Linked DNA regions of Oryzias latipes. The protein of the gene in region 1 purifies or fractionates together with the protein of each later gene. This does not show direct contact. Links are inferred from orthologs where the notes say so. Each region holds a gene or a part of one and is shown in the gene's direction. Other genes may lie near its edges.

Region 1 (4,088 bases):
AGAAGAAATTATCTCTGTGTGTCCGTTAGTGTCCTTGCAGCACTGTTGAATCTGTTGAAGACCCAACAGATTATAAAGGGTTAAAGTCAGGACAGACAGGAGGAAAACACGGAGTAAAATCAGAACACTGTGGCGCCAGTCAGAGACAGCAATCACTTTCCGATCTCTGAATGATTGATCGCTGCGTCTCCTGTGGAAGCAGAGCATCCAGGAGTAAAAGCATCCAATCAACAACTGCTAATGAATAAAAAACAAACAGAAGGTGTTGAGCGGCTGCAAAAAAAATGCTATTGGTCTTTACATTGCGTGGCTTAAAATATTGCATGGGCTAAAACATTTGTAAAATATTGAAATGCAGAATGAGTGTACTCTACAACGCAATTTGTGCAGTGTTGTTCTGCACATCATAATGGTTTTGGAGAGGGTGGATGATGGCACTTTTACCTACAACAAGGGTGTCACAGTCTGATACTGAATATGTTACTGAGAGATTTAACAGCATGATGACGGGTTAGGAGGGATTATCCATGATAGATGTCAGTTTTACCAGCCTCCTTCTGATTCAGACTTCCTCAATAGTAGCCAGTTTGTAGCCCAGGGCCGAGCCAGCTCCCTTGATTTTGGGAGGACTCACAAAGATGTCCCCCAAGTGACACCCTGGGCAAGGCGAGATCCCCTTGCTCCCCCCTTGCCGATGGAGGTAGTGTCTTTGTCAGTTGAAGCTATCCGGAAATTGGGATTGGTGATGACCCATGTCCTTGTGAAACACATTATACCGAATTCTCTGCTCTCTCCCTATGTCCTGATGAACACTTTCACTTCATCCATGTAATTTGCACAAACCTCACATTTTCATTGATGACTGTGGGAATGCAGGACTTAAACTTCTTGTTCTTCATCCTCTGTTAGAGCTATACTCTGAAGCATCACCACCTCCTCTCTAAGGTGGGTCTTTCTAGCTTGAAAGTCTTAAATTCATATTTTCAAATGTATATTTGCCTCTAACTGTCAAAAACAACGAGAATCTGCATTTCTTGCTCATATACAACATTATAAAACACGAACAATGCAATGAAGTGCATTTTTTCCAGGCAAAACATTTACACTTCCAGTCTAGTTTAAAAACAACATTCCTTAAAAAAAAGTGACAAAACCAAAAATATTTTATATTAATGAGATTCCACGATCTAAAAGTAATTTTGCAAACCAAGCTTTGAGTATTTTTATTTAAAGTAATAGTTTAGTGTATGTCTGTTAGGGAAGCGGTTATCAAAGCGGAACCGTTTTACTGGGGGGTGTTTCTTCAGAAACTTATCTGGTGACGGACCCCGGCGTACGTTAGAATGCTTCAATAGAAACAAACGTAGTAGCTTTTTTTTGGTTTCATTTAGCGTAAAAGACAAGAAGAAAACAGGCAATCAAACTACGAGATATTCCCGAAACATGGAGACTATTTTGGAACAACAGCGCCGCTATCACGAAGAGAAGGAGCGGCTCATGGACGCCAAAACCAAAGAAATGTTACAGAAAAAGTCAACGGTGAGCTTAGCCGCTGCAGGCTAACGTTGGCATTACGTGCCACGACGTTATCCTCCTAAAACAGAAAATTAATGGTTGTAATGTGTTATTTGTTGTTTCAGCTTCGGGATCAGATTAATTCCGACCATCGGATTAGAGCCATGCTCGATGTAAGTAGAATTTAAAAAAAAAAAACAACGTTTTGTTGATGCTAACACAGCGGCAGGCTTACGCCACCGCTACAATGCTTAGAGCATAGTATTAGTTCAAAAGCTACAGATAGTTTTAAAATAGACATTGAAACATTGCCTTCTTAACTTAAGATGAGCTATCTTAAAGACGACCAATCATCCATAAGCTGTTGAGACAAGTGAAAATTTTACTATATTTCCTACTATAGACAACTCAAAGCGAAAAAGTATATAGTGGAGTCAGAAGAAGGACACATGATGATGAGAAGGAATAAGTGTTTTTTACTCCGATTATGAACTCATTTGTCCAAATAGAATAAGGAGACACACAGGTAGGTGTTGCTGCTTCCATTCATCCAGCAGCTCCATTGACTTCCATTTTCCGGTTTGAACTTAAAAATTTTGAGTTTACCTTCAAAGCCATTCACAAAACTAGACCTGTCTGTCTCTCAGATCTGGACATTTTGTTTGTATGTATTTTACAAGTAGTATTATCTAAATGAGATGCAATATAAACTACTGAAAGCATAGCTGTAGTAGCTTTAAATGAAGAAAGGTTGTACAAATATAACAATAACAGGCCGTCATAATTAAGACTTTGAAACTAAAATGACAAAAGAAGTTGAGATGTTTATTTTGATGATAGCACTTTAAAAAAATGGAATTATTCAAGAATGCTTGTGTCTAAATGTGTTTCGTCAGAGATACATGGATGTCAGTGCAAACCTGCGAGACTCCTATGAAGACAAAGATGGGTGAGTGTTGTAGTCTTAAGAACCCACAGGTCTGAATCTTTTCTTTTTCTTTACTGCAGCTGTTTTTTTTCTTCTTCTTTTCTTTTGGCAGCATGAGGAGAGACGAGCTCGCTGCCATCTCTGGACCAAATGAGTTTGCTGAGTTCTACAACAGACTCAAACACATAAAGGAGTTTCACAGGAAGCACCCCAATGAGGTACAGAATCCAGAGTTGTAACAGCACTGCTTTGTGTGGTTTGACAGATGGAGTTATTTATAAACGCTGCTTCATATCAGGAAAAGATTTAAACTATAGAGTGTGTTAGTTATTGTGTTAGGAATTGTGTTAGGAAGGCCATCCTGGGAATCATAAGATGATTCCCTGTGGTACCCACTGTAGGGAACAACTGAAAGGTAAAGAAATAGACTCGGCCACTTAGGTATCAAAAAATACTTTTCCTGTTCTGGGGTATGGACATTATTGGATTATCAGTCAGAAGCGCAACACAAAGCCCTCAGTATGTCAAATGTGTGTTTAATAGACCGACACATTCTGTGCCGGAATGTTGCTCATTCTGCAGAGCTTGAGGGGAACTGCTCTCTTTGGAGCGACTGAAAGTTGTGGAGGAAACCTTTTTGTGCATCACAGGATTGTTTTGCAGAAAATGTCAGCAGAAGGACACTTGGTGTTTTAGTAATGGCCATAATCCATGTGGAATTGTTGATGGTCATGTGACCTTCATTAAACCGTTTTTTAACATGTTTTCCTTGTAGATTTCCATCCCCATGTCTGCAGAGTTTGACGAGTTGATGAAAGCCAGTGAAAATCTCAGTGAGGAAGCTCAGAGTAAGTCGGATCCACCTCCAAAGCATTCTTTATCTTGTTCTTCTCTTTTACAAACATTAACTCTTATTAACAAACAAGAGTTCTTTCTCAAAGTACACATCTGTTTTAGTTTTTCCACCTTTGGTGAGCTAGATCCTAAATTCATTTTTTTTTGGGGGGGGGGGCTTAAATGTAGGAATTCCCTTCACAAGCCGGCAACTAGCCGGCTTTAAGTCTTTTTTTTGTATTGTAGATAAAAAATATATATATATATATATTTGGTCTAAAGTGTTTATGGATTTAATTTTAAAGCCTTTGTTTTAGTTTTAGAAAAATCGAGCAGAATAGTTTGAGTCTGGTTTGACCCAGATTTTTGTCTGCCTCAGACATGGTGGAGTTCACGGATGAGGAGGGATACGGCCGCTACCTGGACCTCCATGACTGTTACCTGAAGTACATCAACCTGAAGGGGTCTGAGGTCAGGATCCATCAGATCTGCTTGATCCGTGTCCAGATTCACATGAAGGTGCACTTTCTAACTGCCCTGTGGTTCTCAGAAACTGGATTACATCACATACCTGTCTTCCTTCGATCAACTGTTTGACATCTCCAAGGACCGGAAAAATGCTGAGTACAGAAAGTAAGTGTTTGTTCCGGCGAAAGTTCCGCTGTTTTTCCGCACGCGAAGCATTAAGGTGGAAAATGCTGCCGGCTGTGCAGATACTTGGAGATGCTGCTGGAGTACCTGCAGGACTACACCGACAGGGTCAAACCCCTGCTGGACCAGAACGACCTCTACGGCAAAGTGTTGACCGACT
Region 2 (4,110 bases), on another chromosome or scaffold:
CCTCCTCACCTGCTCTCCTTCTGCCTCAGCAGTAACCTCGCCTCGGTGTATTGCCCCTCTACAGGGCTGCTGTTATTTGCTATGATCTGGTACAGTTTCTTCGGTGGTGCTGAAGTTGGTGGAGGAGGAGGCGGACAAGCAGCCAGTGGAGGAGGTGGAGGAGGTGATGACAAGCTGCAGTCCACCGGCATAGTCTCAAAATCTTTCTACTCTGTCTGATCAAAACCAGCTCTGTTGGGGGGAAAAATGTACCTCCATTGATTTCTTTAATAACCACCAGGGAGAAAGTTAAGTACCATTAAAGTCTAACATGGGGCTCAATAACTGCTTACCTTTCACTTCGAGTCGTTTGCACACAATCTAAAAAGCTCGATGTTTACCTAAACATGTCAACCTTTGGACGAAAAAGATTTGACATATTCTTGCACGTGGTAAACAAACTTTTCGATTTAACTAGCTAACAAGCTAGTAGCTAACGCAGCTCCGTGCTCATATTTGGACATACTCGCTCTTCTTCGTGTGTGCGATCGCTCTGTACTCAACTGTTACACCACCCTCCAGTGAGTGATGATGATCATTCCATCACTAGTCATCTACAGTTTAACACACCATTTACACACATACCGTACAATGTATTTGGAAATAAAGTTGAAGGCACAAAGTTAGTGACAAGTCAATCCACAGTCAGTGTGTAACAGGACAAGCGAAGTTTTTTTCGCTTGTGTCTCTGGGTTTTTTTCTTTTTCTTTTACAGATTTTTGACATTTTCTTTTAATCTTTCCTGTCAAGATACGATACCACACTGATAGGACGATTAAAATATCTTGCTAACGCAAATACTGAAACAAATTTCGTTTTTGACCATTGACTGAAAAGGACCGCAAATACACTGGCTTTATTTCTATTTTTTATTCTTGTTTTATTTATGTATTTATTTTTACTGTTACTGTATTGTTACTTAGTTTTTCCCTCTGTGATTGCTTTAATTGTATATTATTGAACAAGATTCGTTTTAACAATCGATATTGCTTATAATTTTGTTCTTAATAGTTTTCACAAGGTTAGAGTGAGGTGGAGGACGATGATTCGCTGTGGCGACCCCTGATGGGAAAAGCCGAAAGAGAAAGAAGAAGTTTTTTACAAGGTTAAAAAGATTTTTTTATTTATTCAGAACGTAATTGTATTCTTTATATTTTACTGTTATAAATGTTGCATTTTTGTATTATATTCTGCAAATGTTCAATAAAAAAGAGAAGGACCGGAAATCACGTGCAAGTTGGATTTATCGCGAGCAGATGATACGGAAATTGTAAAGGCAGGTTTTTCATTCACCCATCGAAGTGAGCGTTCCTTTCGCGCCGAGCGGTGGTGGGTTTTTTGTTAAAACTGATACTCAGGTGCGGTTATCCGGTGTTTTTTCTCTTTTATAAAACCAAATGTCATAAGGTTACAGATAGTTCGATTAAATTAATCATTTATTGCTGATTTGTCTCAGTTTATACCGAGTTTTAAGCTTTATGCTAGTAATGCCTGCATGCATTCAGGGTTGTTTGCTAGCGCTAGCTGTTAGCCTGCTAACTAGTTGATAGCATTCAATTCATTTTATGTGACATGCTTTGTTCTTTTCCAAACAACTCTTCGTAGATTTTAAGATGACCACTCCAGAAGTACGACCCAATCACACCATATATATCAACAACTTGAACGAAAAAATTAAGAAAGATGGTAAGTTTTTTAACTTCTGGCCTTTCTTTGCTTTTTTGGTCGAAAGAACGATGTGGTGATAAATGATGTTAATTCAGATCCACCACAGCTTTTTATTTTCCTCTGTCTTTATTAGAACTGAAGAAGTCACTGTACGCCATCTTCTCGCAATTCGGTCAAATTTTGGACATCCTCGTCGCACGAACCCTGAAGATGAAGGGTCAGGCCTTTGTTATCTTCAAAGAGATCAACAGCGCCTCAAATGCACTGAGGTCCATGCAGGGGTTCCCTTTCTATGATAAACCCATGGTAAGTTAAACGTTGTTTTAATTTCCTCCATGGTTTTAAATTTACAAATATCGTCCTGTAAAATGTTAAAACTCAAATCAATCTTAGTTTTCAATATTCCTCTCTGCTGTCATGTGTTGTATAGTTTGTGAAATGTTTCAATTCCACAGTGTGCATCAAATGAAGGATTGATCTTTGTAAACTTAGAAGTGCTCAGTGTGAGAGGATCACTGAACACTTAACACTGAACACTTTTTAATGGTTATTAAAAATACATTTAAATAACTAGTAGGTATAATGGATTTTTTCTTTTTTTTAAGCACACTTGGTATAGTAATGCCACATATTTAAACGTGTCTTACTGCAGCGCATTCAGTATTCCAAAACAGACTCGGACATCATAGCAAAAATGAAAGGAACCTATGTGGAACGTGAGCGCAAAAAGGAGAAGAGGAAGCCCAAGCCTGAAGGAACAGGAGCTAAGAAAGCTGCTGCTGCAGCCATGATGGCTGGTGTGCCTACTGCTATGCCTGTAAGTGGGAACGTTTACTGTGACCAGAATGACATGGCAGCTCTTACTCGGACAAGTTAAAAGTGGAAAAATACTGTCTGCAAACTTGCTAAGTTTACCATAGCGATAGGTTGTTTGGAGATTTTAAGCTAAAATAACAGCAATTGATGGAGAAAAAGTTTGGTTTAAAAACCCCACAGAACATAATATCAACCTAGCAAACATTTAGAGGACCATGAACATGTTTACAATGTGTCATTCTCTAGGGAATGCCTCCTATGAGCCAAGCTCCCCGTATGATGCATATTCCAGGCCAGCCGGCCTACATGCCTCCTCCAGGCATGATGCCTCCCCCAGGAATGGCGCCTGGCCAGATCCCCCCAGGTGCAATGGGTCAGATGATGCCTGGCCAAATGCCTCAGCAGGTAATGATTTTTGTCCCCCTGTTCTTTACATGTTTAACCAAAGATGAACATTCCAGGTTTTGTTTCTTTTTTGTCAAACATTTGCCTTCTCTTACAGGTTGCAGAAAATCCACCGAATCACATCCTCTTCCTCACCAACCTGCCAGAGGAGACGAACGAGCTGATGCTCTCCATGCTCTTTAACCAGTCAGTATTGACTTGATAATTGTTTTATGCTTTGACTTTCTTTTCTGCCCAACATATCAAAGACTGACCGTGACCGTTTTCTGCGTTTAGGTTCCCTGGCTTTAAAGAGGTGCGTCTGGTCCCTGGTCGCCATGACATCGCCTTTGTGGAGTTTGATAATGAGGTTCAGGCTGGAGCTGCACGAGATTCACTACAGGGATTCAAAATCACACAGACTCATGCAATGAAGATCTCATTTGCCAAGAAATAATGCCAACACAGGTTGAAATTTGTAATTTGTTTTTTTCCTTTTTAAGTGGTGGAAGTAAAAGGCGTTTTTTTAATAAAATATTTGTTTTTTTCCCAGATTACATGTAAGTATGCTTTTTCTAAGTCACTTTGACATGACTTTAGTTTTAAAAAGTTTGAAAGCATTGCACCCAGTGTCTGACTTGTCAGACATTGTACCTGGAGCTTGGTATTTGTTGTTTTGTATTAAAGTAATTAGATTACTTGATTGATTTTCATTATTTCTTGTTTATGGATTTTTTTTTGGTCATCTAAAACTTGTATTTACTCCATCCTTCTCAGACTGGCACCTACACAGCTTCCTGCAAGGGGTGTAACAATTAATCAATGTATCGATTTATCCAACCGGATCTGAGGCAAGTTCGTAATTAACCTATAGCATTATAAAATCCTTTCAAAATAATATGAATGAATGATAATCGATCTCGGAAAATACTAGTTGAACTGAGACATGATCGTGTTTTTTTTTGTTTTTTTTTACCATAACTATTAGTAATGAATTGTTGTTTACTTGTTTTGTACACATTTATTTACACTAAATTATCTTGCAAGAAATCCAAGTAATCTGGTAAACGTCACTTTCACTGCACAGCACCCTGGTATTTATTATGAGATGCATGGAGTTGTCCTGGATTGATTTTAGGTCATAGGATCATTCAAAGTACACATATCTACTATGAATCTTGTCGGCAACCACAAACTGAGCCG
Region 3 (4,077 bases), on another chromosome or scaffold:
AAAATTGAATTGAATTGAATTGATCCAGATCCAGACTGATAGGATGATGATGGAGAACCAACCAGACATTGTAGTGGTGGATAAAGAACAGAGGAAAGCCGTTGTGGTGGATGTGGCAGTGCCAAGCGATGGAAACATCAGGAAGAAGGAACATGAGAAACTGGAGAAATACCAGGGACTCAGAGGAGAACTGGAGAAAGCCTGGAAAGTGAAGGTGACAGTGGTGCCTGTGGTAATTGGAGCACCGGGGGCAGTAACCCCCAAGCTGGAGGAGTGGCTACAACAGATACCTGGAAAGACCTCAGACCTCTCAGTCCAGAAAAGAACAGGAACAGCTAAGATACTGCAGGACCCTCAAGATCCCAGGCCTTTGGTAGAGGACCCCAGCTTGGAGGAGAAACCACCTGGGGAGGGTGAGAGGGGCGTATTTGTGTCACAATGAAAATAGAAATAAGATCAGAAACTCGTGCGTTTACTTTGTCTGTTCTTCTACTACAAGCAGAAACTCTTTCTTTTGCTGATGATGCAGCCGTGTTACTTTATTGATGGACCTATAATCTTCATACGCCGTCATTTAAATCTCAGACTCCGTCTGAAGTATAGCGCTCTCTTTTTTTCTCCACGCGTTTTCATGGTGACTCCAGAAATCGGCGATCCATTGAGAATGTCTTTATGTACCTGCTGTGCATTAACCCAGCGTTACCAAGTGGAGCGTAATTACGCCAACTCATATCCGGTCTTTAGGAACCAACATACCCAGAGTAAGCAAGTTCAGCCAGAGTTCAGGGTTAAAGTCAGGGGAGTTTAAACGGGCCTTCTGGAATACCCCCCAGTACACTTGTAAAGTTCTCACTCATTTTTGTCAATTTCCATGCGGGAACCTCCCAAATGGATAAATAAAGTTGTCTATCTATCATGCATGTGGAGAACATGCAGACTCCTTACAGAACTGAGTGTTGAACACTCCACTACCGTCACCATCAACTTTTGAACATAAATGTTGCTAAAATCCTACAGTCCTTCTGGAGTACTGGAATAATCCACCTTTGGCAGGTTTTTAAACAAAGATGTTTTTATTAACAACATTGATAGTAACATAACAAAGATAGCGTCCTTCACAGTCAGTATTTGGTTTGATGAAACTATCAGGAGAAACAGAAAGAATTACAAAGAAAATATAATAAATAAATAAATGCAAACATAACTGATATATATGGATGAGGATTTCTGAAGAAGAGAATGAAAAGGCTGAAGTTTCCCTTAACTCTCGTTTGTGTTTCTTAACAGGAAGGAAGGCGCTGCAGTTCCCCTCCCGGCCTGCGGGGGCAGCAGCGCGGCGATCTTCATAAAGCGGCATACGGCGGTTTCCGGTTGTCTGCTTGCGCTGCGTGAACACAGTGCGGGTGAGTTGCGGGTTTATTTTTCTTTATTTTAAAATCTTTGGTCTGTTTTGGGGCTGACAGACTTGGAGGGGTGCGACTCCTCCGAAAGAAAAGCCGCCACGGTCGGTTAACGTTTTGAACTCGAGCGTGGTTAGCCTCGGAGCTAACGGATGCTAACGCTAGCGCCTCTTTCAAAATAAAGTCATAAAATCAAAGAAATCTAAGTTCTCGCAAAAGTTCTCTTATTAAAAACTGTATTTCCAGATAATTTTTTTCTCGTATCTGGGCACGTTAATCGTAAGGCTTCATTGTTGTCCGAAGCTTTTTAAAAACTAGTCTTCATTCAACGTGAGGCTCTGAGCGCCTGTCCGTTTTCCTGATCAAATCGCTTCATCATCTTCTTCTCAGACTCCATCATGGACATCCGACCAAACTACACCATCTACATCAACAACATCAACGACAAAGTCAAGAAAGAAGGCAAGTGACCTGCTCAGAAACACGGATCCAGCAGCCTCACCTGTAGCCTCACCTGTAAACCTCCACCTGCAGCCCAACAGGCTGACGGTGTTTCGGGAGGATCTCAGTCTCAGTAAATGAATCATTATAGGGCGGGAAAAGCATTGGCGTTCTGTTCACACTCCAAAAGCAGGATTCGTTGGTCTGAACAGGTCAAACTTGGGTCACTGGCAGTTTCAGCAGCACCTCACAAAAACCCTCGTCCAGAACCCTGGATTTCATGACCCGGTTCTGTCAGAGTTCCAGCTCACAGAGACTCTGAGAGTTTACGGATCAGAAAAATGTCCGTCATCGGAACAAAACCAGGCCTTTGTTTCCTGCGGCCGTCTGTTTACAGGCAAAGGAACAACGTAAGGAGGAGGGCGTCCGTCCATCTCCTAAGGCATCAAACTGCAGCCAGAGTTATTGAACTTTCTGGATTAGAGCAGTCTGTTGGCATGAGAGGCACAGCACTTGAATGGTCTGAGTCGTACTTATCTGATATGAGGTTTTCTGTCCAACTTGGTCAATTCTCATCCACAAAGGCCCCACTCGGACACGGGGTTCCTCAAGGCTCAATTTTAGGCCCCATTTTATTTTCGTTATACCTGCTTCCACTCTGCACCATTTTTGATCAGTGTAATGTGGCCTATCGCTGTTATGCAGATGATATCCAGCTTTATCTACCATTAGAATCTGGGGGGCCCAGTGTGTAGAGAACCCAAAGAAGAGTTTAGAGGATGTTGAAACTTGGATGAAGTCAAACTTCCTCTGCCTAAATGAACAGAAAACCGGGAAAACTGATCTGACAGAATCCAGCGGCCTGTTGGATCATTGAACTCTGACCTGTCTTCTAGCAGAAATCTTGGGGTTATTTTAGTTTTAAATTTGATAGACATGTTAGTGCTGTGGTCCAGTCTTGTTTTTATCGTCTCCGATGAATCAACACAGTAAAGCCACACCTCCCTCATGACACCCCGGAGAGGCTTGTCCATGCCCTCATCTTCTCCACACTGGCCTGCTGTCATTCCCGTTATTCTGGGAGGGAGCCGTCCCTCCTCCGTCTTCAGCTGGTCCTGAATTCAGCTTCAACCCGTGTCCTAACGGCGTCCAGACGGCGTGATCACATGACCCCAGTACTACGCTCTCTGCACTGGTTGCCGGTATCTTTTAGAATTGATTTTAACTGTTTTATTTCTGACCTTTTAAGTGTTTAAATGCTTTAGCACCTCTTTATGTCACTGAGCAGCACCATCGTCCTCTTAGTGGTCTGCAGACCAGAGGCTCCTGGTGGTCCCAGACCTGGACCTGTGACTAAAGGTGACAGTCTTTTCAGTGGCTGAACCTGAACTCTGGAACCGTCTCCCTTTGTCTGCCAGCTCCTTATAGGGTTTGAAATCTTTGTTAAAAACTCCTCTTTTTTCATTGGCTTCTAACACCAGAGTAGATGACAGTCAGACCGGCTCTATTAGTGTTTATTTCACTGTTCAGGCGCTTTACAAATAAAGGTTGGATTGATTGAAAGGACAAAACGGATCCTGATGGAGGCGGATCCCAGCAAACACAGGTCTTTCTGTGGGTCGGAGGAGAACTGTTGCTGGGCTGGTTCTGGTTTCGCTCCTCCGGGTCTGATCTCTGCTCTTCCTCCTCAGAGCTGAAGCGCTCGCTCTACGCGCTCTTCTCTCAGTTCGGCCAGATCCTCAGCGTGGTGGCGCTGAAGACCATGAGGATGAGGGGGCAGGCCTTCGTGGTCTTCAAAGAGCTGGCCGCCGCCACCAACGCGCTGCGGCAGCTGCAGGGCTTCCCGTTCTACAACAAGCCCATGGTGAGAACGCGCAGACCCTCAGGATGACCCCCCGCCCCCCGCTGACTCTGTCTCCCTGCAGAGGATACAGTACGCCAAGACCGACTCCGAGGTCATCGCCAAGATGAAGGGCACCTTCGGAGACAAGGAGAAGAAGAAGGAGAAGAAGAAGAAGGCCCAGGAGCTGGCAGCCAACGCCGCCAAGAAGCCCGCGGTGAGGCGCGGCGCCGTGCCCCCCCCCCTTTACCGATCCGTTTGTTTGTGTCTGACTGTGTTCTGTCTGCAGGCTGCTGCGGTTCCTGGTCTCACGCTCGCTCTCCAGGTAGGGTTCTTCATCACTGAGAGGATGAGGAGGCTTCTTCAGGATCCGTGTTGTGAGGATCCGTGTTCTGA
Region 4 (3,952 bases), on another chromosome or scaffold:
TTTCATTGTTTAACAGAGAATATGTGAGATAACATACTAAAAACGGAGGCGTTATAGGGCAATAATATGCTGGGGTCAAGCTGGTTCTCGTCTCCTGGGTCGGGTGCGTTAGGGACACGATGACCTGCCAGGCAGCTAGCTAGGAAAAACCTCTGCGTTCATCCGTTAGCTCTCGGTCTTTTAATGAGACCGGGAAACTGTACACGAGATGTTAAATCTTTTCATGCAAATCGACACTTCGCTGCGGGGAAATTCACACTTAAAAATCACAGTTTTTAGGCTCTTACCTGGAGCCGTGCGACGGTGAGACAGTAAGATGCCATTTTGTTCACTGACAAAGATGTGAGATCGCCGTGACGTCACTGATGTATAAAAGCTTCTTTCTTCTTCTTTGGTTTTTCGTCCAGTGTCGTATTTACTGCTGCCCTCTGGTGGAAAAGCCTGGAAATACAGCTGAATTTTATTTCCTTTCTAAAATGTACATGTTTACATGGAATAAAATATTAAAGAAATTGTGTCAATATGTGACAAAATGTGTCATCAGACTCATAAGAAAAATATTGGTCGTCACATCAGCAGATCTAAAAGAAATAACGCATTGCTTGAATTAAATTTTCCATACATACAGGATATTTGCATCATGTTTTCAATTCAATGGACTAAAAGTTTAGGTTTGTAAAATGGTTGTTAATCATTCATATGTGCTTGATTAAACAAAATAAATATAGAAATATGATGGAAATGTAACATTTTTATAAATTAATGAACAAAGTTAAATAAGCTAGATTTTCTGTTCATCAAAAAAGTTGCGCAATAGTTAGAAAAAATTTTATTTCTTCAGCAAGGGTATGCATTGCACACCAAAGTACATTTTTACTCAAGAAAATTTTAATTTGATGAACTGCAATTAAAGTTCTCAAACAGGTAATTTCCTCCTCAAGCTGACATGTTTATTTATAAAGTAACTCTCTCATAATTTTATATATTGTTCTGGTTTTCAGAAAACATTTTAAAAAATGAATTTAAAACAGAAAATTTCATAAAAAGGTTTTAAAAATTGGAAATGTAGCCTATTTTAAAAGCAAAAAGGGTATTTATTTAAATCTAGTATTTATAAAAAAAATGTAAATAAATATGTTGGTAACATTTTTTATTTTTACATTTTCAAAACTTAAATTAATTACTTTCATTATCTTAAATATTATAACTCGTGTTTATGTTTTATTTTGTAATTTAAAAAATAAAATAGTACATGCTTCTGTCCAGTAGGTGTCAGTATTGGCCATTTAGCTGCTTTTAGCTTCCACCGACACGCAAGAAGAAGAGTCAGCGGAGCGTTGGGTTGTCGTTAGCTAACATGGCTAAACATCACCCAGATCTGATCTTTTGTAGAAAACAAGCGGGAGTTGGTAAGTTTTTACGTAATTATTTGTTTAGTGTCTGAAACCTTAAAGTTCGTCGCAGGTAATTTGACACATTCGTGGTTTACTTTCAAAGGTTTAGCGCTTTGTTAGCATGTATGGCATGGGGTTTCAATGAGACTGTTAGCATGGTCGTGTTAGCCTAGTTTTGTGTTTGGAGTCGACATGTCTAAATACCTAGTTTTTTCTATTTAATTATTTAAAATATTAATCCCAAACTGTGTAAATTACCTTATTAACTGTATCTGTTTTCATCACCAGCTATCGGGAGACTTTGCGAAAAATGTAAGTTTTTTTAATTGTTTAATGCTATCAAACGTTCAAAGAAAGAGTGCATGTAGATATCATTTTATAGGTAATATTTATAAATAACAAAAAAAAAAAAAACATATTATAAAGTGATTCTTTGCGTGCGGCCATCCCTGATTTGTTCTTCTTTTTTTTTCTGCACGGGCCTTTAATGTTTAATGTGAGAATTATTTTCAGAATAAAAGCCCTCTCTAGTCTAGGAAAAAATACTACAATCCAAAACTTTTCCATTTCTAGAATTTAAAACAAGAAGCTTTCAATGTGAATGGAGTCTAAACTCATTTGTACTTAGTACTTTAAGTGGGAACATAAAGCAGAGTGAAGAAAAAGTCCATTGAATTCCACAGAGGTTTTTTTTCCGTTTGTTGGAAACAAAACCGATACAGTTAGGTTTGGAGGTGTGAGGGGCTGTAAAGGTAGCGTGAGTGCACACAAACAGATGGGTGATGGGAAGGGGGGACGGGCATGCTCCACGCTACCAATCTGCCCACAACTCATAGGTGTATTTCTAATAAACTCCTGCCGCTTTGGAGAAACGACACAGCTTTTGGAAACGTTATGAAAATATTTCAATAGAGGATCAGAGTGGGACTTTAAGCACGGTGGAAGTTTATTGTGGTTTGGGCCTGCTTTCTGACTGAAGCATTTGAATTCCTGCCTCGAAAATCAGTACACTTTTTCTAGATAGAAAATCTAGAATGAAGCAGTCTGTAAAACTAAATAGGAAAGGATGCCGTGGAACATATAGATATGACATTAAAGATGTCTTAAATTCCCAGTCTGGAAGTCTGGTCAATAAGATGAGATTCGAAAAACAGAAGTTTGATAAAGTCCTTCATACAGATGCATCAAAGTTATTATGTCAGTCAAATATTGCTTTAAAAAAAAAAAACATCAACCCAGAGTTCTGAACTATTGTAAACAAACTGTGTTGGCCAATTCTTATCTGTTTATCCTCTTCTCTCTATTGTATCTCCTTCCTGTCTGCATATAGAGCAACACAGATGTTCTTGATCAAAAAACACGAACGATCAGCTGTTTTCAAGTCTTGAGTTTAGTTTTAAATTTTAAAGCGCTTCGAGTTTTAAAAAAAAAAAAGTTTAATTTGATGTATCTGTAAAGCTCTTTGCTGTCATTTCATCAAAGAAACTAGCAGCAGAAACTCAGGAAGTGAGATGCAGCGTCTGACCGTCTTCTTTTACAAAAATAACTTGTTTTAAAGTCTGACTTTAACAATGTTTAAAAGACGGCAGAGACCAACCAGACTGTCCCTGATCTGCTCCTTTCAGGCGATGGGAAGTGCGTCATCTGTGATTCGTACGTGAGGCCGTGCACGCTGGTGCGCATTTGTGACGAGTGTAACTACGGGTCCTATCAGGGGCGCTGCGTGATCTGCGGAGGCCCCGGAGTGTCTGATGCGTACTACTGCAAAGAGTGCACCATTCAGGAGAAAGATGTGAGTCTCTGGGCTCCAGGATCGGCCCTTCGCTGAAATGAACCAATGTTTTTACCCTTAATCTTTTTTTTGTGCAGCGGGACGGATGTCCGAAAATCGTGAACCTGGGCAGCTCCAAAACAGACCTGTTCTACGAGAGGAAGAAGTATGGCTTCAAGAAGAGGTGAAGAAGAAACCCCCCCGGCGTCTGTTAGGCTTTCCTTCTCGTTTCCAAACTTCCAAGAAAACTGTTTTGGTTTGTGAATAAAACTCACTTTTGTACTCCAGTCTCTGTGGCCGTTTGACTGAATAATCCAGTTTTAAAGCGTTTTTTTCTTATCGTTTATACATGGAGGCTCTTTTCTCTCATTCAACCTTGTTCCTGTTAGGTTCCAAGGAAGATCCAGGTCGTATAAATGCAGCCTAAACTTTTCTAGATGGAAGAAAAGTTTCGACATTTTCCTAAAGATCTGAGGAGCTTCAGATCTGGAAGTTTTGGTTTGTCTTTTCTCGTCACATTAACCTGAAATGGAGACAACAGGGAAGAAAAAAACTAAACATTTGAGAGTTCAGTTAAAAAATTAGGGATTTGAGTCCAACAAAATCTACATTTTACTGATCAAAAGTGAGGAAATGATGTATTTAAAGACGTATAATTCTGACTTCTCCCGTCTGAAAACAGGACAGCCTGATTCCTGGTTCTTCAGGATACAAATGAATTTATTTAAATCAGAAAAGTAATTGTAGATGAACTGCTTAAAGATTACTTAAAAGTTCAACTATGGAA
Region 5 (4,028 bases), on another chromosome or scaffold:
ATTTAAATATAGTGATTATTAACTAAATAGTCAAGTAGAAAGTGATTTAGTGCTAGGAAAAAAAGGAGTTGGAAAAAGCAAATTCATATAATCTCACTCCTATTGAGTTATTTTGTGTGAGAGTTTTGCAGTTTTGGATGATAACGCTCCACCACATGCTGCCAGAATGATCACAACCAGTCTCTAGGCTCATATGGTCTGACCAGCAATGACCCTTGACCTGAACCCCATAGAGCAGGTCTGGGACCAGCTGAAGCAGAGACTCTTTTGTAATAAAATTAAGGGTATTATATTAGTTTAATCTGTGTTCCCCCACACTTCAATACAAAATGTAAAGTACGGTAAAACCAAAGAGCAATATAACACATGCACACTCTGACATGGTAAAATATACTTGGATTTGTTCAAAACAAAAAGGGTCTTGGTTACTTTATTTTTTACATAAAATATGAGATTTCCATGTTCATTTGTCATCCAACATAACCCCTAAAATTTAAATTCAGACACCTGCTCTATATTTATGTTGTCAATGGATAAAGCCACTTCTGTTTTTTCTTTATTACCAAATACCATAAACTTTGTTTTTGTTAATTATAATCAAACCACATTTTAAGTTTCATTTCCTTTTTAACACTTTTAAGTTAGGGTTTTAGATTATCCCTGAACAGAGAAATTTGTCTTCATGTCCAAATAAAACAAACTGCAACAACTTAGAAATACCCCAAACATTTATAATTGAACCTTGTGGAAGTCCACAAATAATATTCATGAGATCAGACTTATTACCTCCAAACTGCACATACTGTATTGTCTGTTTTGTAAATAACTGGTGGGCGATTGCTCTAACCCCATACGCATGCAGTTTAGAAATCGAGATAGAATGATCTATGGTGTCAAATTCCTTCTTTAAATCAATGATAACTTTTAATGTATTTTTCTTTTTGTCAATTGCTGTTGAAATTTCTTCAACTACTTTCATTGTAGCAAAACCTGTAGACCTATTAGAACCAAACCCATAGTGATTCTCACTTAACAAGTTATTTATTTTTTTAACAAAAAAATAAACTTTTAACAATGTCAAAGGAAACTTATATTTATTTCAATAAAATTCAGAGCAAAATGGGAAAAATCACATGGAAATCACATTGTCAATAATAAACTCATTGGACGGCGTCCTGACGTCATCACGTAAGTTACGTCAAAAGACGTACGTTCACGCGGCGGTCCCCCCCGCCATTTTATATTTTCAACAGGCCGAGCAGCCGCAGTACGCAGCCAGCTATCTCCACGTTGTTTTCAGCTCCATTTCCAGCATTTTTATCTTCACGGAGTCTCTTTTTGGCGGTTCTACGTTGAGCCACCGAACCCGCGGACAGTCCCGCTCCTCCTTCAGGTCCATGAACTAAAAGCTGCTGGACTCTGGAGGAGAGAAGGTGAGTGTAAGGGCGCAGTTAGTGGTTAGCTCCATGCTAACGGGAGCGCTACATCCCACGAGCGGAGCAGACGCCTCCGGCTGCCTCCGGACGGCCAAACTCTTAACTTGTACGCAGACCATAACGTGTACTACTGTGGGAGGGGGTTCCTGATGTTCTACTTCTGGATGCATGAAATGCGTTGAACGCGTCCCCCGTCCTGTGGGGAAGTGAACAATAAGCGCGTGAAGCTAGCTAGCTAGTACGGGTATTACGGCTAGCTAGCTAGCTAGCTAGCTGCCCTGACAGCTAGTTTCGCTGCTTCATTGTGTTGCGGCAGATCCGTGTCTGATATCATGCATGTTTTCCTTATCGATCAAGTGAAAGATGACGCAGTTCCTCCCGCCGAACCTGTTGGCCCTGTTCGCCCCCCGGGACCCGATTCCGTTCCTGCCTCAGCTGGAGAAGCTGCCCCACGAGAAGCATCACAACCAGCCGTACAGCGGCATCGCCCCCTTCATCAGACACTTCGAGGTGAGCGTCGCTGTCACGTGCGAGCCTCCGTCCCCCCGATGCCTCTGTCTCACCTTCCTACTGTTTCCCACCAGGATCCTAGAGATGCCCCCCCACCAACCAGAGCCGAGACCCGCGAGGAACGCCTGGAGAGAAAGGTGAGTTTCCTCCCCCCTTTGCACATGTGCTCAAATACAGAACCTGATGGATAAATAAACGGTTTATCTCTGCTTTCATCCAGAAGATTTCATATTTGCGTTTGTTTTGCTTTATGGCAGCTGGCAGTAGCACAGATTCTGTCACATCAACCCAATGAATCATGGGAGATGTAGTAAACTCTGTGACACTGATGCAAATCTCCGGGCTTCATTATTGGATGCACTTTTTACACGGTCTGACACCGGATCCTGCTTGAAGCTACACTTCCACCATTGTTAGCTGGTATTTTGTCAGGGTGAGGAACTGGGGGTGTTTTACAAACTTTTTCCAAAATAAGAGCCATTGGCCTAAGTTGCTGCACAGTAGTGGTGCAGACATTTTTTTTAATCAAAGTGTCTTAAATAGGAAGTAAAAGTCTTCTGTGATCTGTAGTACTCCCAACTGAAACCTGGGCGTATTTCGATGAACGTAGAGCTAATATTCTGGCGATGGAAAATGTTTTTTTTTTTAGAACAAATAGGTGAAATTGAGTAATTTCTCATGGCACACTCAACCATCTCTTTACTATATAAACCTCTAACCTGATCCTGTCTGTGCTGCAGCGTCCACCAGTCGTTACTGTTTGGATCTCTGATTGTGCTGCGTAGATAACGATGGAAGGCATGTATACAGAAAATTAGGATTAAAATTGCATTTGTTAGTATTGTTGTTTGAGAAACTCAACGCCTGGATAGCTCCTTTATCGCTCGCCATTTTTGTTGCACAGATAATGTTATGTTGGGGTTGTAACGTTTCAGTTGAGCGTCTTGAGCCATAAAGGAAATTTATTTGTGAACTTGTGAATTGACTGAAGCAGGAGTTTGGCTGTGAAGCACAGACCTAATGAATGCAGATTCTCAAAGGAGGGGTAGTTGAATTACAGTCCTAACTCCTTCATTCAGCATTTTCTGCCTCGGTGAAAACCTCTCAAGTCTATAGAAATATTATACCAGGCAGGAGCCCAGCACAGGTGCATGCTGGCAGCAGACAAGAAACCAAGTGCGGGATTATGTCAGCTCTGTGCTGATGCTCTGCTGTTGGAGGCTCTGCGGTTGGCCGTCACCATTTTCTTTTCTGTTTCCAGAGGAGAGAGAAGATTGAGAGGCGACAGGGAGAAGTGGAGACAGAACTGAAGCTCTGTGAGTTTGTCACTTTCTTCACGCCGTTCTCCTCAAACGGTGAAAAGCTTTGTGCTCATCCTTCCTGTTTGTTCCATGTCAGGGGACCCCCATAATGACCCCAATGCTCAGGGGGATGCCTTCAAGACTCTGTTTGTGGCACGAGTGGTGAGTATTTGTCTTGGTTCTTCTCACTCCTTGTTCACATCTGGTAATTAAAACCTTTTTGTTTCAGAATTATGATACGACAGAGTCCAAACTTCGCCGTGAGTTTGAAGTCTATGGCCCCATTAAACGGGTAGCTATTGATTATTATTTTTCTGTGTCCAGATTTTCTTCAAAACATGAACCCTTTTGTCTTTACAATGTGAGAAAATTCTCCTGGCTCTTCAAAATACTATAAAAAAAAGTAAAGAGCCGTGCGTGAAGCGTTTTGGCGCCGCTTTGTGCGTGTCGTCGTGCGCTGACTGCATGTCTGCTGCCTCCGCTCTGCCGAGTCTCACCAGGAGTTTTTCTTTTCAGATTTACATCGTCTACAACAAGGGAACAGGGAAGCCCCGCGGCTACGCCTTCATAGAGTATGAGCACGAGCGAGACATGCACTGTGAGTACGGCTGAGGCATCGGCCACCAAAGCCAGTCTGTGTTGGTGTGTGTGGATCAGAGCACTGCTCGTCACTGATGCTTCTGTAAGGAGACCAGCAAACTGAGCTCTGCTCACCAGATCCATGTCTGCTGCTCGTCTGACGTGTGTGTGTGTGTGTGTGGGGGGGGGGGTCTGCTCGATG
Region 6 (3,642 bases), on another chromosome or scaffold:
TGCCTTGAAATTTTTCATTTCTAATATCATGTTAACTCAAACTACTTAGCTAAATACGTTTTTTTCTATTGTCAGTCCTACAATGAGTTTATTATTATTATTACTTTCTTATATATTTTTATGACTTCACAATTTTTGTCGTAACTATGGTCAAAACTTAAACAATTTATCCAATCGGACCGTCAGCAGCTAGCACAGTCCGCTGGCTAAGCTAGGTTAGCCATTGAGGACGGGTTTCTGTAAACGGGCGTTTTGCGAATAAAAAAAAACAACTAAAGTCAATACGAGGAGTTCGGCTATCGTTTTGGTTTACAAAAAATGTTAAACTAAAACTCACCCGTTTATTCATCTCAGACTAAGAAAGCTCTCCTCGCCGAGTTGGTCTTCAACCGTCGATCTTTTTCCACGTCGCGAGACTTCAATAAAACGTCCCTTCTAGATTTTCCTCGAGAGACGCCAGTTTGCCGTTGGAAAAACTCCCGCCGTAATCTGCAACCGTTACCGGACCGAATCATCAAATCCCACATGGCGCCTGCGCACTAATACTTTTTCTTTTCTTTTCGTTTCTTTAACCCATAACCTGTTAATTGCAGAAAATAAAAGCACAACAGTTCAACAAATCATTACCCCATGTTGATTTGTTTTCTCATAATTTTATGACTTTATTCTCATGTCGTCGTTTATTTTTCCTCTTTTATATTGTAATACTTTATCACAATTCTATTTAATATTCTATATATAGTTTTTTTTCTCCGAACATTTTAGAGAAAAAATATTTTTTATTTGTGGTTAGATTTATAAAGGTGATTGTCATCTCGCTTTTTTTTTAAATGTCACAAAAGAAGAGGAATCGAGTACTTTGAATTAAGATCTTTTTTAGACTGTATTTTTTTAAAGAAATTAAAAGCACAGCTTTGTTTTCTGTTTGTTTTTTTATGAGAGATGGTTATTTTTACTAACTTCCCCCTCATAAATATGTATAGAATTTGGATTTTATCTTTAAAGAAAAAAAAGACACAAAAGGGGAGTAGATTCATTTTAACGCCAAAACCCCAATTGTGGGTAAACAGGTCAAACTGCAATTCTAACTAGTGCTCAAATCTCCAATATTTTTCTCCAAAAAAGTTAAATACATAGATTTTGTCAGTGTAGGGAATTTCCTAACACAAAAATGACAAAAAAAACTGTTTTGCATTTTATTGATGTTTATAAGTAATTTTACTTTTCCCTACACATATATCTCATTGCACAACACTTTGATGAGAGAGGTACACATAAGTCTTTTTATTTCTTGTGTCTTGTGAAACCACAAAACCACTTTCATGGCCATGTTGATTTTTTCTAGGTCAAAGAACAGAATTACAAAGAAATTTAAAAAAAGTTGTGTTAATAGTATCTCAAAATGTGTGTGATTCCTCTTTTAACCACACGAGGGAAGCACATGCCTATTGCTGTACCTATTGGTATTATCCGTTAACCGGATGTTCGTCTTCGTTTTGTCCCTCCATTTCCTGGTGAAGGCTAAAGGCATTGCGTGTTTGTTGTTTAGCTATTGTTCAGACGAAATAAACTGTCATCATGGCTATGCAAGCTGCGAAACGCGCTAATGTAAGGTCAATTTTTGTGTTTAACTTTACTATATAACAACGAGTATATGTTAATATGGTTTTTGGTGCTCACGAAAGGGACAATTAGCCCTCCGTTAGCCTTTAGCAGCTATTGGTTACTAAAAGATAGCGTCGCTACGTAAAAAAATTAATAAATACGGCATTTTGAAAATGAGATGGTAAAATTGATTGTTTTGTCATCTTAAAATTTTAAAGAATTATTATTGTTTTAGCACGTTAGAGGGTACACTTTAGTGAAGAATTCTTATACCGTTTGTTTACATGCTAGTCTTTCTGTTACACATTTCTTTTTTGTGTGCTGCAGATTCGGTTACCTCCAGAGGTGAACAGAATCCTATACATAAGAAATCTGCCTTACAAGATCACGGCTGAGGAAATGTACGACATTTTTGGCAAATATGGACCCATACGTCAAATACGAACGTAAGTGTTTTGTCTTCATACCTTCAGTTTTATTTGTTTATTTTTAATTTAAAAAAATGTCTGTCCTAAACACACAACCACGTCTACTAACAATGAATATATATAAATGTAATTTTTTTACATGGTAGTATTAATGAGAAGCAAAATTTATTTAAAAAATCGTTTCATTCCAAACTGTGGTGTAGCATTTGCTTAAATTTGACATTTAAATCATTATTAATCATATTAAAAATGCTTGTTTTGTTTGTTCCCCTCACATGTTATCATCATTTAAGAGTCCCTCTTAGATCACTTTTTCATATGTTTTCAGACAATAAAATAAATATGTAAATAAGCTCAATATTCTTTCATATATGTTGTCCTTCATCAGAAAAATGCCATGAGAAAATGTTTTAAAACAGTTTTCATCAGAGTGGGTCTTTAAGGACAATATTATTATGGAACAGGTTAAGATGTGTGACCATTTCATGCTTTTGCTGTATTTTAGGGGTAACACACCTGAAAGCAGAGGAACGGCGTATGTTGTTTATGAAGACATATTTGATGCCAAGAACGCTTGCGATCACCTGTCAGGCTTCAACGTCTGCAATCGTTACCTGGTTGTTCTTTACTACAACGCCAACAGAGTACGTATGCTTTTTATTTCATCCATTTACAACCTTTTTGGTTCCTTGTTTGTTTGTTTTTTTCTGTTTACCATCAACCCGCTCATATTTTTGCAGGCTTTCCAGAAAATGGACACAAAGAAGAAGGAAGAGCAGTTGAAGCTCCTAAAAGAGAAATACGGCATCAACACAGACCCTCCCAAATGATCTCCACGACTATCAAAACCTTCTCACACACCTTAGATTTCTCTGTACCTGTACAAATGTTCCCTTTTTTGAAAATTTTTGCTTGGTCAGGTTTTTGTTTTGGTGCTTTTGTCAACCTTTTATGCATGACCTGCCGTCTGCTTTTTTTAAAAATGACTTCTCTGATGTTAATTGAGCTTTTAATTTGAAGTGAAACCAGGCATGTTTTCAGTTCAGTTCTTTCCCCCCCCCCCACATAATTTTATTTGAAAGTTAACAGGTCTCTGCCTTGTGCTCCAAGAACATCAATGGATGTAATGTTTGTTTAAACCCATTTATTGTAAAATAAATGTCTCTTTTTCTTTAAACCCATTGTCTTTTGTTTTATAAACACCACATATGAACTCACTTTACTCTTGTTTTGTAAACCTGTCACATCAGCTAATTTTTCTTTTTTCCCCCACATTTACACACAAACAGAAAAGTATCTTTTGAGAAGCTGACCGTCATTCAGTCTTTTCCGTCCATCCATCTTAACCTGCTATATTTGTTGCTGGAGCCTATCCTAGCTGTTGTAGGGCAAAGGTGGGGTACACCCTTGTTTACGGAACAGTCAGCCAGAGGACCTGAGAGCTGCAGAGAGCATAGCTGCTTTTAAGAAAAGCTTCAAGACCCATCTTTTTCAACTGCCTTTTAGCAAATGTTTTAATAGTTTTTATTTATTTTGAATTCTTTAATTTATCCACTTTATCATATTTTATATTTTTACATGGGACTATCCATTTGTTTTAAAATTCCTC
Region 7 (4,204 bases), on another chromosome or scaffold:
ACCATAGAAGAAAATATTATGCAGTCTGTTGTAAACAAGCAGAGCTCCGACACGGAGTGAGATCATCTTCTAAACACGCTTCTAGTATTTTTACGATCAAGTGCCTTTGCAGCCGTACGGACTGCGGTCAGAACGCTTCTCCGGTCCGAACACTGAAACAAAGAACCGTCCCCGCCTGCAGCTACGAGACTCCAGCTGCTCTGCTCAGAGAGCAGCTGGTTCATTCTAACAGCCACAGATCTTTGTGCTCAAATGGAACAGTAGTTTCCTGCAGAGATGAATGACGTACCAATGAAGTACCAATTCTAAAGGTTCCCCTATAGAAACAAACTAAACTAAACTAAACTAAACTAAACTAAACTAAACTAAACTAAACTAAACTAAACTAAACAGACTAAACAAAACAAAACGAACTAAACTAAACAAACTAAACTAAACTGACTAAAATAAACAGACTAAACTAAACAGACTAAACTAAACAGACTAAAATAAACAGACTAAACTAAAATAAACAGACTAAAATAAACAGACTAAACTAAAATAAACAGACTAAACTAAACAGACTAAAATAAACAGACTAAACTAAACAAACTAAACTAAACAGACTAAAATAAACTAAACAGACTAAACTAAACAGACTAAACTAAACAAACTAAACTAAACAGACTAAAATAAACAGACTAAACTAAACAAACTAAACTAAACAGACTAAAATAAACAGACTAAACTAAACAGACTAAACTAAACAAACTAAACTAAACAGACTAAAATAAACAGACTAAACAAAACAAACTAAACAAAACAAACTAAACAAAACAAACTAAACTAAACCAACTAAACTAAACTGACTAGAATAAACAGACTAACAGCCACAGATCTTTGTGCTCAAATGGAACAGTAGTTTCCTGCAGAGATGAATGACGTACCAATGAAGTACCAATTCTAAAGGTTCCCCTATAGAAACAAACTAAACTAAACTAAACTAAACTAAACTGACTAAACAAAACAAAACAAACTAAACTAAACTGACTAAAATAAACAGACTAAACTAAACTAAACAGACTAAACTAAACAGACTAAACTAAACTAAACAGACTAAACTAAACAGACTAAACTGAACAGACTAAACTATACAGACTAAAATAAACAGACTAAACTAAACAAACTAAACTAAACAGACTAAAATAAACAGACTAAACTAAACAAACTAAACTAAACAGACTAAAATAAACAGACTAAAATAAACAGACTAAACTAAACTAAACAAACTAAACTAAACAGACTAAAATAAACAGACTAAACAAAACAAACTAAACTAAACAAACTAAACTAAACAAACTAAACTAAACTAAACAAACTAAACTAAACTGACTAAAATTAACAAAACAAACTAAACTAAACAAACTAAACTAAACAAACTAAACTAAACTGACTAGAATAAACAAAACAAACTAAACTAAACAAACTAAACTAAACTGACTAGAATAAACAGACTAAACTAAACAAACTAAACAAACTAAACTAAACTGACTAAAATTAACAAAACAAACTAAACTATACAAACTAAACTAAACAAACTAAACTAAACTGACTAAAATAAACAGACTAAACTAAACAAACTAAACTAAACAAACTCAACTAAACAGACTAAAATAAACAGACTAAACTAAACTAAACAAACTAAACTAAACAAACTAAACTAAACTGACTAAAATTAACAAAACAAACTAAACTAAACAAACTAAACTAAACAAACTAAACTAAACAAACTAAACTAAACTGACTAAAATTAACAAAACAAACTAAACTAAACAAACTAAACTAAACAAACTAAACTAAACTGACTAGAATAAACAGACTAAACAAAACAAACTAAACTAAACAAACTAAAGTAAACTGACTAAAATTAACAAAACAAACTAAACTAAACAAACTAAACCAAACAAACTAAACTAAACTGACTAGAATAAACAGACTAAACTAAACAAACTAAACTAAACAAACTAAACAAACTAAACTAAACTAAACTGACTAAAATTAACAAAACAAACTAAACTAAACAAACTAAACTAAACAAACTCAACTAAACTGACTAAAATTAACAAAACAAACTAAACAAAACAAACTAAACCAAACAATCTAAACTAAACTGACTAGAATAAACAGACTAAACTAAACAAACTAAACTGACTAAAATTAACAAAACAAACTAAACTAAACCAAACAAACTAAACTAAACTGACTAGAATAAACAGACTAAACTAAACAAACTAAACTAAACTGACTAAAATTAACAAAACAAACTAAACTAAACCAAACAAACTAAACTAAACTGACTAGAATAAACAGACTAAACTAAACAAACTAAACTAAACAAACTAAACAAACTAAACTAAACTAAACTGACTAAAATTAACAAAACAAACTAAACTAAACAAACTAAACTAAACAAACTCAACTAAACTGACTAAAATTAACAAAACAAACTAAACAAAACAAACTAAACCAAACAATCTAAACTAAACTGACTAGAATAAACAGACTAAACTAAACAAACTAAACTGACTAAAATTAACAAAACAAACTAAACTAAACCAAACAAACTAAACTAAACTGACTAGAATAAACAGACTAAACTAAACAAACTAAACTAAACTGACTAAAATTAACAAAACAAACTAAACTAAACCAAACAGACTAAACTTAGACGATTCCAGGGCAAAACAGAAGAACCCTCGGGGGGGTCCACATGAAGGAGGGATCCTCCCCCAGGACGGACAGGCGATTTACCAGAACTCTTAGAGAGAATGAACTTATCTGACTCTACAACTACATGATTGACTAGATCAGCAGATGAGCTTCATCCAGACGGCTGAAAAGGTCTCTGAGAAAAGGGTGGTTTTTCCAACCCTGAAGCTAAACCAGCCCAACATTATCAGAGAAAGGAATCTGCGTGATGTCAGGCAGCCTGGAGCTCAGATGATCCACGGGAGAGAGAGGCGTGTGTCGTCACATTCCCTCCTCAGGATGACAAAGCAAAAACAGCGTTCTTTGGAAGTGGAACGAATGATTTTAAATGTCCTCATGACCGTAAACAGAAAGTGTAGCAGAAAGAATCACATCCTTTCAAAGAATTGAGTTCGTCCATGGTTAGTTTCAGCTGAAACGTGCCTTTATTGTTGGTTTTTCTAATTAAAAGCAGGTTCTAGGAAGCACTGCTGCACACCAACCATCTCTGCTTCACTCTGCAGCCTATTCCTGAGCTCATGTTTGGGTTTGGAGCATCAAATCCAACTTCTTTTTCTTTCTTTTCATTTTAAGTCATTTTAATCAGTGTGTTTTTTTCCATGCCATTTGCTTTCACGTTGATATCAATCTGCCTGCATCCTGTCCTTCCTGCAGCCGTGGTGGATCTGAACGGCCGTTATTTTGGCGGGAGGGTCGTCAAAGCCTGCTTCTACAACCTGGACAAGTTCCGGGTTTTGGATCTGGGAGAACAGGTCTGACGTGGTCCTGCGATCGGCGCCGGCGTCAACCATCATCATCCTCCTCCTCCTCGTTCATCGACTTGTACATAAATTTGTTTTTGTTTTTTTTTATATTTCCTGAACAGCGTCTCTGTGGTCAGAACTGTAAAATGTAGTTGTTGTTTTTTTCCCTGTCATTTGACAAATATGTCAAAATAAAAGCTTTAAAGCCGTTTATGTGCCGTTTCCACTTTCCAAGAAGCCTACTTCTGCCGTCTGATTCTTGCCTGAAATGCACAGGGCTCCTGTGTTTGGGTTCTGCCTCTCTGGGGGGTTTTGGCGGTCCTAACATAGCCCTGCTTCATTATGGAGGGGACTAGGACAGTGAACGGAGCCTCAGCCTCATTCAGGACTTATGTAAGTGAGCCAGGGGGCCCCCAGGGGCCCGACGTCATGAAGAGATGCCCCTGGAGTGGGTTTAAATCAGATCAGTGAGGCGGGTTGGGTAACGAGTCCTGGTTTTGAAAAGCTGCTGCATGCCTCTTGGTGACATTGAAGTGGCCTTTGGCAGAGACCTGGTCGGGCTCTACAGGTGCTGATGGACTCCGATGCAGACCGGTACGGTCTGGTTCTAAACTCAACCTTCGCCGTATGGCGCTCGTGCAGAGTGTTCCGCACATGGTTGGGTTTCACGGAAAGCTCCCGAGGACGGACCATCCCTGTTCTTTCTCAGAATG

The links.
Region 2: the proteins of sf3a3 (region 1) and snrpa fractionate together in Homo sapiens (co-fractionation; 4 studies listed by BioGRID and IntAct, with this or other methods). This does not show direct contact. The link is inferred for Oryzias latipes from reciprocal best matches to the Homo sapiens genes SF3A3 and SNRPA.
Region 3: the proteins of sf3a3 (region 1) and snrpb2 purify together in Homo sapiens (affinity purification with mass spectrometry; 6 studies listed by BioGRID and IntAct, with this or other methods). This does not show direct contact. The link is inferred for Oryzias latipes from reciprocal best matches to the Homo sapiens genes SF3A3 and SNRPB2.
Region 4: the proteins of sf3a3 (region 1) and phf5a purify together in Homo sapiens (affinity purification with mass spectrometry; 3 studies listed by BioGRID and IntAct, with this or other methods). This does not show direct contact. The link is inferred for Oryzias latipes from reciprocal best matches to the Homo sapiens genes SF3A3 and PHF5A.
Region 5: the proteins of sf3a3 (region 1) and snrnp70 fractionate together in Homo sapiens (co-fractionation; 3 studies listed by BioGRID). This does not show direct contact. The link is inferred for Oryzias latipes from reciprocal best matches to the Homo sapiens genes SF3A3 and SNRNP70.
Region 6: the proteins of sf3a3 (region 1) and sf3b6 purify together in Homo sapiens (affinity purification with mass spectrometry; 3 studies listed by BioGRID and IntAct, with this or other methods). This does not show direct contact. The link is inferred for Oryzias latipes from reciprocal best matches to the Homo sapiens genes SF3A3 and SF3B6.
Region 7: the proteins of sf3a3 (region 1) and rbm17 purify together in Homo sapiens (affinity purification with mass spectrometry; 4 studies listed by BioGRID and IntAct, counting the BioPlex papers as one, with this or other methods). This does not show direct contact. The link is inferred for Oryzias latipes from reciprocal best matches to the Homo sapiens genes SF3A3 and RBM17.

Annotation. Positions count from the first base shown.
Region 1 is NC_019869.2:17,931,794-17,935,881, forward strand, and holds the start of sf3a3 (splicing factor 3A subunit 3), read left to right. Parts: upstream 1-1,288; 5' UTR 1,289-1,443; coding exon 1,444-1,539; intron 1,540-1,640; coding exon 1,641-1,688; intron 1,689-2,411; coding exon 2,412-2,464; intron 2,465-2,555; coding exon 2,556-2,661; intron 2,662-3,218; coding exon 3,219-3,291; intron 3,292-3,656; coding exon 3,657-3,748; intron 3,749-3,827; coding exon 3,828-3,910; intron 3,911-3,990; coding exon 3,991-4,088. UniProt on the Homo sapiens protein: Component of the 17S U2 SnRNP complex of the spliceosome, a large ribonucleoprotein complex that removes introns from transcribed pre-mRNAs.
Region 2 is NC_019871.2:13,958,418-13,962,527, forward strand, and holds snrpa (U1 small nuclear ribonucleoprotein A), read left to right. Parts: upstream 1-1,315; 5' UTR 1,316-1,397; intron 1,398-1,644; 5' UTR 1,645-1,652; coding exon 1,653-1,725; intron 1,726-1,840; coding exon 1,841-2,013; intron 2,014-2,359; coding exon 2,360-2,524; intron 2,525-2,769; coding exon 2,770-2,928; intron 2,929-3,025; coding exon 3,026-3,114; intron 3,115-3,204; coding exon 3,205-3,364; 3' UTR 3,365-3,375; intron 3,376-3,460; 3' UTR 3,461-3,610; downstream 3,611-4,110. Other genes in the region: c13h19orf54 (UPF0692 protein C19orf54 homolog), read right to left, coding at 10-191. UniProt on the Homo sapiens protein: Component of the spliceosomal U1 snRNP, which is essential for recognition of the pre-mRNA 5' splice-site and the subsequent assembly of the spliceosome. U1 snRNP is the first snRNP to interact with pre-mRNA.
Region 3 is NC_019859.2:709,986-714,062, forward strand, and holds the start of snrpb2 (U2 small nuclear ribonucleoprotein B''), read left to right. Parts: upstream 1-1,277; 5' UTR 1,278-1,403; intron 1,404-1,790; 5' UTR 1,791-1,798; coding exon 1,799-1,862; intron 1,863-3,532; coding exon 3,533-3,705; intron 3,706-3,766; coding exon 3,767-3,898; intron 3,899-3,970; coding exon 3,971-4,006; intron 4,007-4,077. UniProt on the Homo sapiens protein: Involved in pre-mRNA splicing as component of the spliceosome. Associated with sn-RNP U2, where it contributes to the binding of stem loop IV of U2 snRNA.
Region 4 is NC_019877.2:2,094,200-2,098,151, reverse strand, and holds phf5a (PHD finger-like domain-containing protein 5A), read left to right. Parts: upstream 1-1,285; 5' UTR 1,286-1,357; coding exon 1,358-1,409; intron 1,410-1,682; coding exon 1,683-1,706; intron 1,707-3,019; coding exon 3,020-3,186; intron 3,187-3,263; coding exon 3,264-3,353; 3' UTR 3,354-3,452; downstream 3,453-3,952. Other genes in the region: aco2 (aconitate hydratase, mitochondrial), read right to left, coding at 288-323.
Region 5 is NC_019866.2:24,780,069-24,784,096, forward strand, and holds the start of snrnp70 (U1 small nuclear ribonucleoprotein 70 kDa), read left to right. Parts: upstream 1-1,228; 5' UTR 1,229-1,433; intron 1,434-1,793; 5' UTR 1,794-1,799; coding exon 1,800-1,946; intron 1,947-2,020; coding exon 2,021-2,083; intron 2,084-3,207; coding exon 3,208-3,262; intron 3,263-3,344; coding exon 3,345-3,409; intron 3,410-3,476; coding exon 3,477-3,539; intron 3,540-3,763; coding exon 3,764-3,845; intron 3,846-4,028. UniProt on the Homo sapiens protein: Component of the spliceosomal U1 snRNP, which is essential for recognition of the pre-mRNA 5' splice-site and the subsequent assembly of the spliceosome. SNRNP70 binds to the loop I region of U1-snRNA.
Region 6 is NC_019882.2:13,000,287-13,003,928, forward strand, and holds sf3b6 (splicing factor 3B subunit 6), read left to right. Parts: upstream 1-1,455; 5' UTR 1,456-1,578; coding exon 1,579-1,608; intron 1,609-1,932; coding exon 1,933-2,051; intron 2,052-2,538; coding exon 2,539-2,677; intron 2,678-2,773; coding exon 2,774-2,863; 3' UTR 2,864-3,142; downstream 3,143-3,642.
Region 7 is NC_019881.2:3,098,602-3,102,805, forward strand, and holds the end of rbm17 (splicing factor 45), read left to right. Parts: intron 1-3,402; coding exon 3,403-3,506; 3' UTR 3,507-3,704; downstream 3,705-4,204. UniProt on the Homo sapiens protein: Splice factor that binds to the single-stranded 3'AG at the exon/intron border and promotes its utilization in the second catalytic step. Involved in the regulation of alternative splicing and the utilization of cryptic splice sites.